Caenorhabditis elegans: one gene and its partner. The protein of the gene in region 1 purifies or fractionates together with the protein of each later gene. This does not show direct contact. Each region holds a gene or a part of one and is shown in the gene's direction. Other genes may lie near its edges.

Region 1 (7,374 bases):
CAAATTTTTAAGAATTGTTGGGAACACTTAATCGATGTAACCTCCCCATGCTAAGTACAGAAATTTTATGTTTAGCAGCGAGAGCAACTGCAGAAGAAGCCGGTTCAATTTGTGGAATAGGAATGGTTACTCTTGTAAAGATACGCAAGATTTCCCGGCGATAGGGTCGGATATGGTAAAGTGAAATAATAGATGATAAAAGTGGGATTGGAGCAGGAATTGCACATATCAGACATTCAAAAATTGGGTGGGTAATCAGCCGGATTGCTTGGATAAAAAAGCAGAATACTCCGCCAACAAATAAAACTGGAAGACAAGCTTGCAGCGTCAATGCTCTCAACAGTTGCTTGTGGATGGATTTTGTTTCAGAACGTAAATTCTCGGTGTTTTTCCCGAGACGGCAAAGAATTTTCCTTCGAAATACAAGGATTGCAGTGTAAATCGCAAAAACTGGAACTGTCATGTTTAGGATTGAAAATGTAGCAGCTGGAGATAATGCATCGGATATTCCCGTAACAGTTGAAATTTCAAATGTATAATCTGGGAACTTTGATTTCAACATTCCAAAAATCAAATAAGGATCCGCGGCGGTGAACATTAGCACAATGAACTGAGTGAATGATGGAATGTATATAAAAACACTGAACATGAATACTTTCCACGTAGATGGGGGAGCAGATGAGAGTATATAGTTACGATATGCAAATGATAAGAGTAGTGACCACATTGAATGTATGAATAAATGAAGAAGTGCACTCCAGGATGCGTAACATAAAAATGGATGTCCAAAGTGACAAAGCCCATAAAATATATGGGCCATGGCATAGTCGAGTGGTATGATTCTGAAAATTTATTCACTTGGCTTTAAGGGGTTTCTAGATTTTCTTGAAATTTTCAAAAAAAAAAATATTTAAACTAATTCAAAGTTTAAGTTTGCAAAGTTATCCCGGTTTAGGGCACAGACTTCGGATTTTCTCTTATCCGGACGTTCTGCCCGCTGTCAAAACCGGACGGTTTTCGGAAAAAACTAGTTCTCTCGATTTGCCACCCTTGTCGAGATTTATGTTTTTCTGCATGAAGTTGTAAAAAACTAGGTCTTACCTTGGTGCACAGAACATCATTAGAAATGAGGAAAACATATCCGTGAGTGCAAAGTTGATGATTAGAATTCGGTAGGTTTTGATTTGAGACGGAGATCGGAATATTGCTAAAAGCAAAAGAAGACCATTCAGGACTATTCCGAATGCTCCAAGGATGGCATAGTAAATCATCAGAACGATAACTTCAATCATCCTGAAAATGTTCAATGTTTAGTGTGAACCTTGTTAGAATGAAACAAAAGACGTAAACAAAGAAAAAAGGAAACGAAATGGATAAATGCAGTAGCGTGAGACGAAAAACAACGTGTTTGGCACATTGTACCCTTCATTCTTTAATTTGAACTTTGTTCCCAAAATTTTGCGAAACAAAATTTCAACTCACGTGGTCGCCCGTGGTCAAGCGTGTATCAGAAATGGTCATTCTTCTGACGATGTATCAGAAATGGTCATTCTTCTGACAATTGGCAACCGACTTGTCTCCGAGAGAACTGCAAATCACTCAGCAATCTGGACACATCAAATTGCTGAACAATTCCGGGAGACGTATTGTGTTTGGAGTGAGCACGGCGCTTAAAAAAGCAACAAGTACTCCGACAGGAGTTCTGGATCCAAATGAAGCGGCTCTTTTCACAGTGAAGTGTGATGGAAAGGATGTAAGTGGGGAAAGGCATGAGCGCAAGGGTGGTTGAGTTTTCGGCAATTAGAAGATTTGCCAAAAAAGGAGAATTGTAGTATAAAACTTTAACTTTCTATACATTTCGGAGCGTAGAAATGTATTCCGTTGAAAAATTTTAATTTTTCAAATTAAAACTGCCCAAAACTCAAAAAAGAAAATTGTCGAAATTGCCGAAAATTCAAAACCCGGCAATATGGGCCTACGTGGAAATATCTCCCACTTTTTATCGATCAAGAAGGAAGTTGATGTTTTAAATTTTAAATTTCAAAATTTATTTTAAAATCGTTGTGAAACGTATGACTATGCAAGCTTACCCGATTGATAAAAAGTTGGAAGCAATTACACGTAGCCGCAATGTTTCATTTATTAAAATTTTCAAAATTTTCAGCAAAACGACCGTATCACTATCATCTACACAAATCCTCCAGATGGAACCGACAAGCAGTATCGATCCGAATACTTTCTCCGTGAAGACGCTCTGATCGTCAGAAAGAATCTCTCGACACGCTTTGAGAAGATTACAGCTGTACTTGCAAAATTCGAAAAGGCTAATTAGTTTGTAAATGATATTTTTGCTTAAAAATAAAGTCTGTGTCTTGATTCCGAAACAAAAATGAAAAGAATGACAATGTTTGCAATTCTTTTGGAATTTTTTCGTCAGCGGATTGTGCAGCAGCACGTGGTGATCGTGAGAATGCTTGATCACTTTTAGCTGTGGTCAAGAATGTGTAAACTGGGAACATCGAACACATACTAGAATTTAGTCGACTATGAAATCAAGAGAATATATTTAGATTTTTTTCAAAGATTAAAAAAGGTTTAAAAAAACTTTTTTTTTTCAAGATTTTATGAATCACTTTTCAATCATACTCGGAAGTTAGTCATGTTTTTGTCCCGTTGCGTTTTTGAAAAACTGGAATCTGGAAAACTTAGATTATTGGAGGAAAAGTTACACAAGAGGGTATTTTTTCGAATAATCAAAATATGACAATATATAATAAAAGTTGAAATTTTTGGAAATTTTTGGAAATGTCAAAGTTTCGGTTAATTTGAACAAACATTATGTTTAGAAGTTAAAACATTTTTTTTTTAATTTCAAAAACAAACATGAAAAAAGGTTGAATTCCGGCATTAATGAATTCTCTAGTTTTTGGCATTTTTGCATTTTACCTTATATTAATTGGTTTTTGTTTATGTTATCTTTGATTTTTGATTTGAAAAACATAAATTGACAAGGTTTTATAATTTTTTCCGCAAAAAAAGATCAAATTAATAAATAAATTAACATAGTCAGAAAATGCAATAATTTTAAAACCCCTAGGTTATTCATTTGCACGAGAGTTCTAAATTGATTCAGTCTTTTTATTTATCGCAAAATTGAAAATAAAATTAGAAAAATGCTATACATTAGGGTGATACGGTTAGATTTGGTACAATGATTCTGTCATTTAGGGCAAAAAATCCATAGGTGCTACTCCACCTTCATATTCCCAAAATTCAATAATTATTCAACCTTTTCCAAATATCTCTACCTCGATCATGTAATAAGATAAATCGTAATGATTACGCAAATCCAAATACAAACATTAAAGGAGACGCACGCATATTCTGTCATTCATTAGATAATTTGGAGAGAGGCGAAAAGATATTTGAACAAATAATAAATGAATGTGTCAAAAGTTGAACGGGCACATTTTGATATTCAACGTTTTCCAAATCAGTGAATTATGAGCTTTATCAGTGCGACTAAATTCGTAATATTTTTTGCTGCTTCAATAAATGCACAAAAAGTTGAACAAGATCATTCGGTTCGTTTTTTTAAAATTTTATTGTGTTCACAGGAAATTTTCAGGTAGTAAATAGAGTTTCAAATATTGCGGAAAAATACAGTAATTGGGCTCTAGGAAAATCAGATTATCGAAATGGAAATTTGAATAATTTTCAAGTCACTCAAGTTCAAAGTCCTCCAAGAAACTACAATACAGGTGAGGGTTTCAGATAACTTTTGTAACTATTTTAAAACTCACTAGTTTGTAGTCAAATCTAGTAGCTTGCCTTTTTTTAACTTTTTAGAGATTGAATAGTGTTTTTAACTCAACACTTTTGCTTTTGAAGTTTAGTTATAAACTAGGCAAGACCTAGTTTAAGCTTTGCCCAAATTTAAATGTTGAACAAACTTCTCTCGTGTGGTTTTAAACTTGCCAAAATATTGCTCAACTCTTTCTTACCTGTTGCCTAAGCTTTGCCTAAGTTTGGCCACCTGTTGAACTAGCTAATATTTTTTTGACAAAACTTGGCCAAGAATCTAAATATTGGAAAATACCTAGCAGTTGTAGGAGATTATTTTTAAAAAATTTTCTGATTTATCACATCAGTTTCAAAAACTATACCTATTTTGAATTTCAGCTCCAGTAAAACGATTTTTTCATCAAGTCCGAATCCAGCCGCCTCTTATCATCAAACCTGTAACTTATTCGGAAACATCTTATCAACCAATTGACATCTACTCAACTACACAAACTCCAATCCTGACAACTCCACCATATCCTTCTCGGATTTCTCATTTTCCAACTGAAAATCGTCAAATCTTCCGATCTCCAGTACGACAACATTACCAGCCATCTCCAAATTTTCCAAGACTTTTGGAAACTGAAGTACCAGTTTCTCAGTCATCTCCGATGTTTACTTCAAATTCTTCATTACTCCCACCACATATGTCTCAAAACTTTGGCTCTTCAATATTAACACAACTTCTTAACCCAATTCTACAAGAACCTAATATTCCAACAGCGCCTCCAAATTTACAAATATCACCTCAAATGCACATTAATCCAAATTTCCCGACATTAGTTCCATTACCAATTCCTCAACCGGTAGTTCTTGAACCGACTAAAGAAGAAGTGATGAAAATTGCATCGAAGAAGAATCTATACGGAATGCCAAGATTTCCAATCGAACCTCACCGTGGATTTTTTCAGGTTTGATATATATTTATTAAAACTTCAAACATCTAAAACCGTTAGGCATCAATGAGCTGCATGGATGGCTGGTGTGGAAATGAATGCTGTGAACCGAGGAGACCATTTGCAGCACCTACCACTACGATCCAAGCAAGCGTGCTACCAGGTACAGTAGAAGGGGTAAAAAAATAATAAATTTTTTTTTTCAGGCTCACCAAGCCCACCGCATCCCCTGGTTTTAGTTGTACATCCCGCACCACAGGCACAATGCTCTCCGGCCTGCCAACCTCATTGTAGTCAGCAATGTGTTGCTAGACTTCAATATATGCATGAGTCACAGTTCTACAACCACATTTTGGAGCCAAGTTGCCGTCCAGATTGGTATGATTTTTTATGTAACTGAAAATTTCTTCCATATAGGCGCCAAAATGCGTGCCTTGCAGATCTTCTGCTAAAACACATATTTAAGAACTTTTTTCATCTCGTTATTTGACTTTCATTAAATTGATTGCTATCAGAAAGTTAGTACTTTAGTAAATTTAGTAAATTTTTAAGTAAATTTATGTCAAATTGAAGGAAAAAGGTCGGCAGGTCTCAGGCAGGTAAATAAAGGCATTTAGCTCAGCCAACCTCCTAAATTCGTACAATCCCATAAAATTTTTTTCGAATTTTCAAAACGTCTAAATATAAAATTCGAAAAAAATTTAATTGAATATTTTCATTTAATCAATAATTTATGTTCCAGTATGCCATCCTGCCACGTCGATTGCCTCATAATTCCTCCACAGCAAGTCCGATGCAATAGCTTCAATTGTCAGTGTTTGGCTGGCTACGTGCAATGTGCCGCATTTACTTGTTGCATGAGATACCCGGTGAGAATATCCGTTTGGGAAAATCCAAACAACATGTATTTTCCTTCCAGAATCTGGCTGCAAGAATGAAATCCAACGTGATGGCAAAGTCATCTGAAGAAGAGGTGAGATGGAGGAAAGAGTGTAGTGCCAAAATTGAATATTTTTAGGCAAACGTTAGCGAGGAGGGGAAACAAGATAATGAGATCAGCTATCGAAGAATGTATACGCCTAATAGAATGAGGGCTGGAAAGGGGAAATACGGTTGGGAATATCAAGGGGACATCATCTCGAATCAATTGTTTTCAGACATTGAGAATGTGACATCACCACCAGTTATTAGACCTTCTTATTGGACAAAACATCGAGTGAAGTCAACGAAAGAACCAAAAACTACAATATTCACAACAACTCCAGTGCCATGCCCCACGACCACATCTACGACAACAAGTGCAACTACACTAGTTCCAACCACATCTAGTTCTACAACTACTACAACAACTACTACACCAGTACCCGTTACATCTACAACAACTGAACCTACTACGACAACATATACAACTTCAACTAGTACTAGCACCACAACTACACTTCCACCGACAACATCCACCCCAAAAATTGTGGTTAACCTAACTCCTATCTATCCGGATATGTTAATGAAAGCAAACAAAGTTCCAATGATACCAGCCTACGGAATTTGGACAATTCCGCCCCATGTACCACCCTCTTCAAAAGAATTTGATAACCCATTGAGTGGAATAAAAACCTCGCCAACTGAAAAGCGGAATTCTATTGGTGATATTCGCGGGAGACATGTTATCCGGTCTGAAAACTTTTTGGATGTTCTCAGTGAGCTGGCGCAGGTTTGAAATTCACTTCATGTATCTATCCTACATACAATTTTTAGGTGAAGCTTAAAGAGGATATAACGGATGACTTTTCACATGCAGCAAATTTCATCGATTTTATGACGGACAGATTTAGCAAAATTTAGGAAAATTTTATAGCTGGATATTGAACTATTGGACTGAATTTATGTATTTGTACAAATAAAATATTTCTGAAAATCCGAGAGATTTTATCATGAACATTTTCACATTCTAATGTTCTAGAAAATGGAGTGCGGGATTTTTTTTCACCATTTTTTTGGTTTCTTCACTGATAAAATCAAAAGAATTGTTGTTGTTGTTGTTGTATCTGATCTTAGAAACTTTAAAAAAAAGTATTATTAATTATTTGTTTACAGTTTGGTCATTCAAAAAATGTCATTTTTCAGCTATATAAACATTTTTAAAGCCTTCAGAATTTTAAAAATATAAATCAACAGAGTTTAAACTGATAGAGGTGGAGTAGCGCCAGTGGGGAGAAAACCAAAACGACCGAATCTCATAATAAAACACTCCAAAGTTTTAGATTTTTCATAATTTTCGGCCAAGTTTTGGATGTTTGCCAAAATTTTGAAAAATATGAGCTTTTGATGAGATCCAAAGCACTTTCGCTTATTTCGACCCTTACAATGTTATTTTATAAATAATTAAAATAAAATTAAAATATAAAACATGTTGGAACATTTTTTTTTTGGTCGACTTCCAAAAATATGAGTGGCAAAAACTGGGCAATTGTCACTTTTTGACAGTAAATAAAAAAGTTTCCAAACATTTTTGAAAAGTTTTATTGTGATATTCGGTCATTTTGGCACCATAGGAGTAGTTTTTACACTTTCCCCACTGGCGCAACTTTTTATTGCATTTACTACACTCGCAAGGAGTTACTATAATTTTAACTAA
Region 2 (7,374 bases), on another chromosome or scaffold:
TTGCGGGCTGATGACATCAACCTCTTTACTGATTCGGTGGAAGTTCAGGGATTGAGAGCAACTGACAAATTACACAGAGGCATTGATGGACAACGGTTGATGTGTATTGGAATATCATGGATTGGATGTAAGCAGTCAGGAGTTATGGACACATTTGTGAATATACATGGAATAATTGGAAAGTACCGAAAAACACCGGAAGGCTTGATACTGAAAGACGAAAACAAGGCCATTGCGCTTCTACCAAATTTTCCGATTCAGAATACTCAAGCAATTATGGAGAAGGATTTGCTTCTTCTCAACACCAAAATATGCCCTCATGTATCCCAAAAAATCTACTTCTGCAAAACCACAAAATCAGAAAGTGTACACCAAGTCGTTCTCAACAAATTAACCCTCCACTTTGAAATTATCAAATGTTCAGTCTGTACTTATGATAAAAACTTGGAATTGGAGTATTATGACAAGAAGACGAAACTTTATGCGGAAACGGTGAGATGTGAGACGACGGAAAAGTTTGCAATTGTGCGATCAGCTAAAAATGAGAATATTTTTCTGTCGACTTACTGTCCGAAGACACTTGACCTAAAACTCCAAAGCCCAGTTGCAATGGAAGAGAGAAAATTGACAAATTCAGGTTGGTGTTTTGAATACGTTCTTGCATGTTTATTTGATGAATTGCGAATTTTTCATAACTTCGAATTTTATCTTTCAACTCTCTTTTTCTATAGCCTAATAGATATTGGGTTGGAAGTTGGTGGGGCAAGGGTAGTATCAAGGTACTGTCGTGACACGGAGGTGTAATGTAAGATTGTTGTAGGATTACTGTAGTTTTTGAAAAAAAAAGCGAGTTTCAGTCTTTTGAAGATGTGTTAAGTTCTTGTGAAAAAATAATAAAAAATATGAACATTTATCTGCAGTATTTTCCAGTAAATCACAAATTCCAGTCAGTATTTGGTGTACTTTTTAATCATTTCAATAAAATTGAACATTGATTCCAAATAAACCAAATTATTTTTTTATACTTTACGTATGGTATATATGAACTGTACAAAATAACTTTAAAATACGATAATTTCAGAATCAAATAATTGGTACAACACATCAAAAAGTTGCGAGGAGAATATCCTCGAAAAAATGTGCCCAGCCAATGAAAATCACCAAACTCTTGTTGCCACGGAAGGCGCAACTTTTGGCACAATATACTGGATGATGAATGAGAATTATAAAATTGATCCATTCAAAATTGCGCCAACAATTCCTGGAACTGGAACATTTCTCACCATCTTGTCCAGTTTGGACGTTTTTAAAAGCCGGAAAGTGATTGCAAGCAAGTTTACTTTATTCGGTGAGTTTTCGAAGAGTTTCAATTTTTAAAAAACTGAAAAGAATTGCAGAGAACGTGACTCCTAAAGACTTGATCGATCACAGATGTGAGGATTGTGAGAACAACGTGCGTCCTACAGACGCATGGCTTGAGTCTGATAAAGGTAATCAATTGAACTGATCACAATGTAGAGTAGAGTAGAAAATTTGGTTAAGCTAATTGTTTTTCAGTCTACCATAGAAGCCCCGTAGAACTATTAAAAATTTGAGTAAAAATAATTAATTTTCAAATCTAAAAATCTGAACATCTGCTTCAAACATATTCGTTTAGTACTATTTCGATGCAACTAATTTGCTAAATATTTATATTTGTAGCCAATTTCTGAACCAACTGAACATTTTCTGATAAATCTTGAGCAAGAAATTGGCTTCAAAAGTCGCAATGAATATTTTTAAGGAAAACCTACTCTACGCAATCAAATGCATCCGGATTACCACCCGACTTACAAAAAGAATTCCGAATATGAAGATGCACAGGAGGATTTTGATGATATTGAGCTGAAAGTTTTCCAAAAATTGTGTAATATGGAGGACAACTTGTTCAAGCAGATAATCGATTTTGAAAAACCAAAGGAACAGTTTACCGCACCACCACACCCACAAATGACTCACCGTGTTGCCCAACCTCATTATGTTCCAGTGGAATATTTCAATCACACGATATCAGACTTGCTTAGACAAATATCAGGTCTGCAGCATGAGCAAGCTATGCAAAATGGACAAATGCAGCATATGGCCAATGAAATTCGAAGCATTGGAAATGCAGTTTGCAGTCTACACTCATCACAACTACAACAGCCGCCTAACAGTGCCGCAAGCATGTTTCCGTACCCGATTCATCCGATGCCTTCAACCTTTCCACAGCAAGCACCTCATGCTCCAAATGCTCCTCAAATGACAGCCAACTCAATGCAAAGCATCGCAGAGCTCATACTCGCGCAAAGAGGAATCGCACCAAGAAGAGAAAGACGTCTCACAGAAGGTCCTAAAAAGTATAACAGAGTGATCCCACCTTCACCCCGAATTCCAAGTTCAACTGATAAAAAGGAAATGCTGAAAAAATCGAATGATCGGTTTGATAAGCTTAGAGAAGAAGTTTCCGATGTAAGGACACAATTGTCTGGTTTGGAAGGTACGTTGTTTCTGTCAGACATTTTCAACTTTCTAGAGCACCCCGCAAGCTTTTTCTCGCACACTCTCAACCTTCTGTCGCAGAAATTTGTATAAGTATAATCACGTGCAGACGACTATACGATCTCTAAGGGATCCTTGATGCTTTGAGCTTGAAGCTTTTGATCTTCAAACAGGACAGAAATCAAATTTGGAACTATCAAAAGGCATTTAGCGCTCAAAAAATAACGGCGAAAAAAGATTAGAAGCGCGTTAGCTACCAAGAAAATAAGCTCGCCAGAAAAGTATAAGCCCCTATATTTCCAGACACTACTTTCAAAAAGCCGAAAAAGCTGCACTTCCTTGAACCAGACGAAGAATCAGAGAGTGAGAATTGAAATGATAAATCTCAGTTTAATTCTCAAGTTTCAGGCGACGAGAACGGCAATGATGTGGACGAATTTTCAGAAGCTGATGATGATGATGAGGACGTGGATCGAGAAATGAAAGTTCTTGTCGAGTCACTCAAAAACCGCGTTCAATAGTTTTTTACCCCAAAACTCAATCAAACTACTCTCAAAAATTGAAATTCCTATATCTTTTGATTTCAATTGTGCATGTTTTTTCTTATCTTCTTCCTGTGTTCTCATCCCCAATTTTCTGGTTTTCATATGGAAATCTGTGACAAAACGATTCCATATCCTCAATTACACATAGAAACCCCATTTTTACTGTACGTTTCCAGCTACCTTTCCTTTCATAGTATCCTAGTTTCACTTGAATTTCCTGCTTTTTCGTCCTGCTATAAAAAGTTATACAACTGGGAAATAACCCCGGGAAACTAAATTAAACTTATTTAAAGAGTTTATAATCTCTGCTTTTTACTTTTCACTTTTAATTTATTTTTTTTTAAACTAAATTTTCAAGCATTTTTAGCAACTGCAAACCAGCCATGTCCGAGATCGTCGAAGTTCCAGATTCTCCGCCAAGATCTCCGGAAGTCGAGTGCCCATTCAGTGAGGGTGAGGAAAATTTATCTGAAACCCTGATAATTTTTTTTTCAGAAGGTTCCTCCGAAAAGTCGATGGAGACTAGAAAGCGGGTCGCTGAAGAGGCTGAGGGGAAAGAAGGCGACGATGATGGTTAGTATAGTTTGAATATTTAAATTGCAGACAAACTCGGAATGCATTTAAATTTATTAGAACAAACTGGAAATTATTTTTGGTAAATTTTCAAAAAGTTCATCCGTTTAGTTTTTGAGTGATTTCAGTTTTTACCGAAATTTTTCTATGTTGAACTAAAATATACGACATTCTTCTGTTATTTGCAAGACGTCGCCAATGTTTTCGAATTAGTTTTCAATTTATTTTATTGAAATATTACTCAAAAAATATGTTTGGCGAGTTTTAGAAAATTCTGACAAAATTTTTTGTTGATATATTTTTACTATAATATCTCATAAAATAATTATAATCGTCTAATTTTCAATGAAAAATCAAGAAATACAGACAACATATATTTTTATATCAGCATAAAATTTCAGTTATCGAAGTTCCACCACCAAAGAAGGTGAAGCCATCCTTTGAAGAAGTTCATCAGCTCATTGAAGACGACACGTACGACGAGGAAGAGCTCAAGAAAGCCAATGGAGGATCCGTTGTTGAGGAAAAGGGTTCCACTGAAGTTGAAGCTCAAGATGAGCAAGTTGCCGAGAGTGAGGAGCAACCAAATGAGCCGGAAGAAGAAGAAGAAGAGGCTGATGAGGAAGAAAATGACGAGGAGTAGATTTTAAATTGTCTAAAGATTCTCTTTATAATTATAATCAAATACCACTAGATCTTTCCATTTATTCTCAAGATCTCATCTATCATCATATTAGCGTATGAATCGTAAAATCTCAAAAAATGTTTGTTTGTTTTTTCTGGACCTTTTTTTTTAGCTCAAGCTCAAGCAAAAAGCTCAGTTTGCTCGCTTTTTGTTTATTATTTTCAAATAGCTCACAGTTTTCAACGTCTCGCAAACAGTTCTTTTTTTATTCTAAACCATTTTTCCCTCATTTTTACACTTCAAATGTCGATTTCTATAGCTTTTTTGGTTGTTCTGGAGTTAAAATTTAAATAAACTAGATATTGGCTAACCTACATTCGATATGTTCTTGAGATCATTAGATGTCTAGAATATTAGGTCAATTGACAAGAGGACTTTCTTACATATTGTCACACTATAACAGGTGCTGTAAGAGGAGGCGATGTCTCAAATGGTAGACTGTTGTAAAAGGAGAATATCGTGAAGAGATAGAGATGTACCAAAAATAAAGAATCGTAAACTTTCCGATCGATCAAAATACATTCCTTCCCATCTACATCGTTAATGCACTCCCTCCAGACTCCACCCATAAAAAACCAATCAATATTTACTCTAGACATCAATGTCTCTCAATTTCCTATTGTGTCTCTAATTATTGGAATATTTTCCAGCGTCCGAGAGCGCACAACAATCTGGAAACACAAAATGTAGTCATTCAGTCTTCAATTGTTTCTATTGTTTGGTCGAAGGCCCCTTTCTCATGTTTTATTCTTTTATTTTTCCTTTATCAGTCTTTATCTCTGTTTACGTAAATAGGAATTACTTTTTGCCCTCAATGTCAGCTAAATTATTTTACTCCGAAATTAAAAATTGCCTTATGAGCAGTCTGCTGAAACTTTTCAGACCTTGTTTTAAACCAAAATTTCCACATGTCAAAAAAACCCATATTTTTTCTTAGTAGAGCATCAACCCAATTTTCGCTACTCCAAGATTATCTTCCTGTATAATATAATTTGCACAAAACCGGCCAAAAAACTGAACAAATTTTAAATTGAAAAAGCAAAATGTGTTGTTCATTTCCATATCCTCGTTTTTTTTTATCTTTTATATTTCGATTCATACCAAATATATTTTCAGATTGATTCAAAATTTCTCAAAATGATCACTGGATATTGTGGTTTCTGCAAGACCGACTACGTCGGAGTGGATCACGGAAATAAGTGCTATTACAAATACTACTACGACTACGATCTCGAGGAGTTTATGCCACTGAAGTGTCTCGACTGCCAACCAAAAATCACCGAGAAGAACCTTTTTCCACAAGAAGGAACATTTTGGGATCCGAAGATGCAAAAAGCCGTGATGCCATTTCATAATGTTGTGACAAATTGGATTGAGTACTACATCTATGATATCAAGGAGAAGTGTCTCGAGCAAATTGAACCAGTGGTTCCACCGGTATCCTATGATCCAACTCCAGTGGGCGATCGGATTTGCATTGTGGACTCGAAAACTGAAACTATCTTGATTCGTCGTCATCCAGAACATGGTCATGTTTGTACTCAACAATTCATCAATGGAGAGTATCAAGATGTTCCAAATACAAAAGTGAATACTCTTCAAATGAAGGAGCTAAAGCGGTACGGTCAATGTAGAAGTCTCACTCATTATCTCAGGCTTCCAATTCTCAATACAAGCTACTGCTTTAAAAGCGATCAATATATCGTTCGGGTGCCGGGAAGAAACAACGAGAAGCCGAAGGAATTCTATTTTGATAGAGAATTCAGCTGTTTCATGCCATCACTTTTAACTGTACCAGAGGACATTCTATACCCTGAGTACTCGGTTTGGAGTGAATCCCTCAAGAAACATGTCACATTTACCGCAGTCTGGAATGGAAGAAGCGAGATAATTGAGCAGTACGTGTATAACTGTGAACAAGGACAATTTGAACAAGTACATGTACCGGAGCTTGTCTACGATCCAAATCATGAAGTTCCAATGAACATTTTGTTTATACAAATGTCAAAAGACAGACCAATTGTGATTATGAAAGATGAAGATGGAAATTTTGTGAAACAAGAGTACGATTCATTGATTGACTGCTTTGTAGCAATTTCACCAAAAGACGCAAAGATTCTTCCACGCGAATACGACGAGAAACTTATATATGGAAAATACGGTGAGTAAACTTGTTTAAAAAATTAAAAATTAGATTTATTTTGAATTTTTCAGGTATGGCCATTTATTCCATTAAGCCAGAGCCAGTGAAGAAAGTTGGTGGGCCATTTGGAGGTGTCAAAGGAGGATCATTCGAAGGACTTCCAGAAAGACCAGAAAATGGATTTTCATTTGAAACTGAAAAAGAGCAATCTGCATCGACTGGTTCAGAATCACACGATGAGCAGGAAACTGTAATTGAAAGCGAATCAATAACTGATTTCCTTTCACGAATTCTAGGTAAGCCTATTCTATTTGATCTTATTAGTATTACTATCTAATTTTCAGGAGAAGATTGGCTTACTCCAAAGCCGCTATCTACAACTTACCAGAAACCATTGAAAAAATCCAGTGTCCATGATGAATCTGCTGACGAGATTGACCTTATATTAGCTAAGAAATCGAAGCGCACAGCTGTACCAACTATTTCTAAATCTGATGAAGTTGAGAATGTAGATCCTCCAAAAGAATATGGAAATCTCGGTAAGCTTTATATTAGTGCCCCTACAGTACTCCCACTGACCTTAACTCCAATTCACTCACGAGACAAAAATTAAACTTGAAACATGTCTTTTTCTCGTTGTTGTCCCAAAGTTTCATATTTAAAGTTTATATGTAAAGGCAGAAAAAAGTTTGGACTTTTGAAATTAACATTACTCTAACTTTAAAATTTTGAGAACTTGCTCAAAGACTGAATCAAAGCCGAAATATGCAGATAGTCACATAACTATCGGCTGCAATTTGATGCAGATTCTGAGCAACTTAATGAAATGTTTGACCAAAATTAAGTTTTATTTCAGAAAGTACATATATTTCTCAAGACACAAATATGGCTAAGTGGCTTATATACAA

Evidence for each region.
Region 2: the proteins of T09D3.3 (region 1) and C35E7.11 fractionate together in Caenorhabditis elegans (co-fractionation; one large-scale study listed by BioGRID). This does not show direct contact.

Annotation. Positions count from the first base shown.
Region 1 is NC_003283.11:5,345,701-5,353,074, reverse strand, and holds T09D3.3 (EB domain-containing protein), read left to right. Parts: upstream 1-3,503; coding exon 3,504-3,584; intron 3,585-3,628; coding exon 3,629-3,761; intron 3,762-4,182; coding exon 4,183-4,754; intron 4,755-4,799; coding exon 4,800-4,902; intron 4,903-4,945; coding exon 4,946-5,117; intron 5,118-5,481; coding exon 5,482-5,608; intron 5,609-5,658; coding exon 5,659-5,712; intron 5,713-5,757; coding exon 5,758-5,851; intron 5,852-5,896; coding exon 5,897-6,450; intron 6,451-6,494; coding exon 6,495-6,581; downstream 6,582-7,374. Other genes in the region: srd-9 (G_PROTEIN_RECEP_F1_2 domain-containing protein), read right to left, coding at 8-842, 1,102-1,292.
Region 2 is NC_003279.8:10,841,340-10,848,713, forward strand, and holds C35E7.11 (Glutamic acid-rich protein-like), read left to right. Parts: upstream 1-3,432; 5' UTR 3,433-3,448; coding exon 3,449-3,518; intron 3,519-3,560; coding exon 3,561-3,638; intron 3,639-4,039; coding exon 4,040-4,281; 3' UTR 4,282-4,633; downstream 4,634-7,374. Other genes in the region: C35E7.2 (Reverse transcriptase domain-containing protein), read left to right, coding at 1-637, 1,082-1,348, 1,398-1,490, 1,784-2,518, 2,824-2,883, 2,929-3,041; vet-2 (Very Early Transcript), read left to right, coding at 5,461-6,484, 6,538-6,762, 6,811-7,005.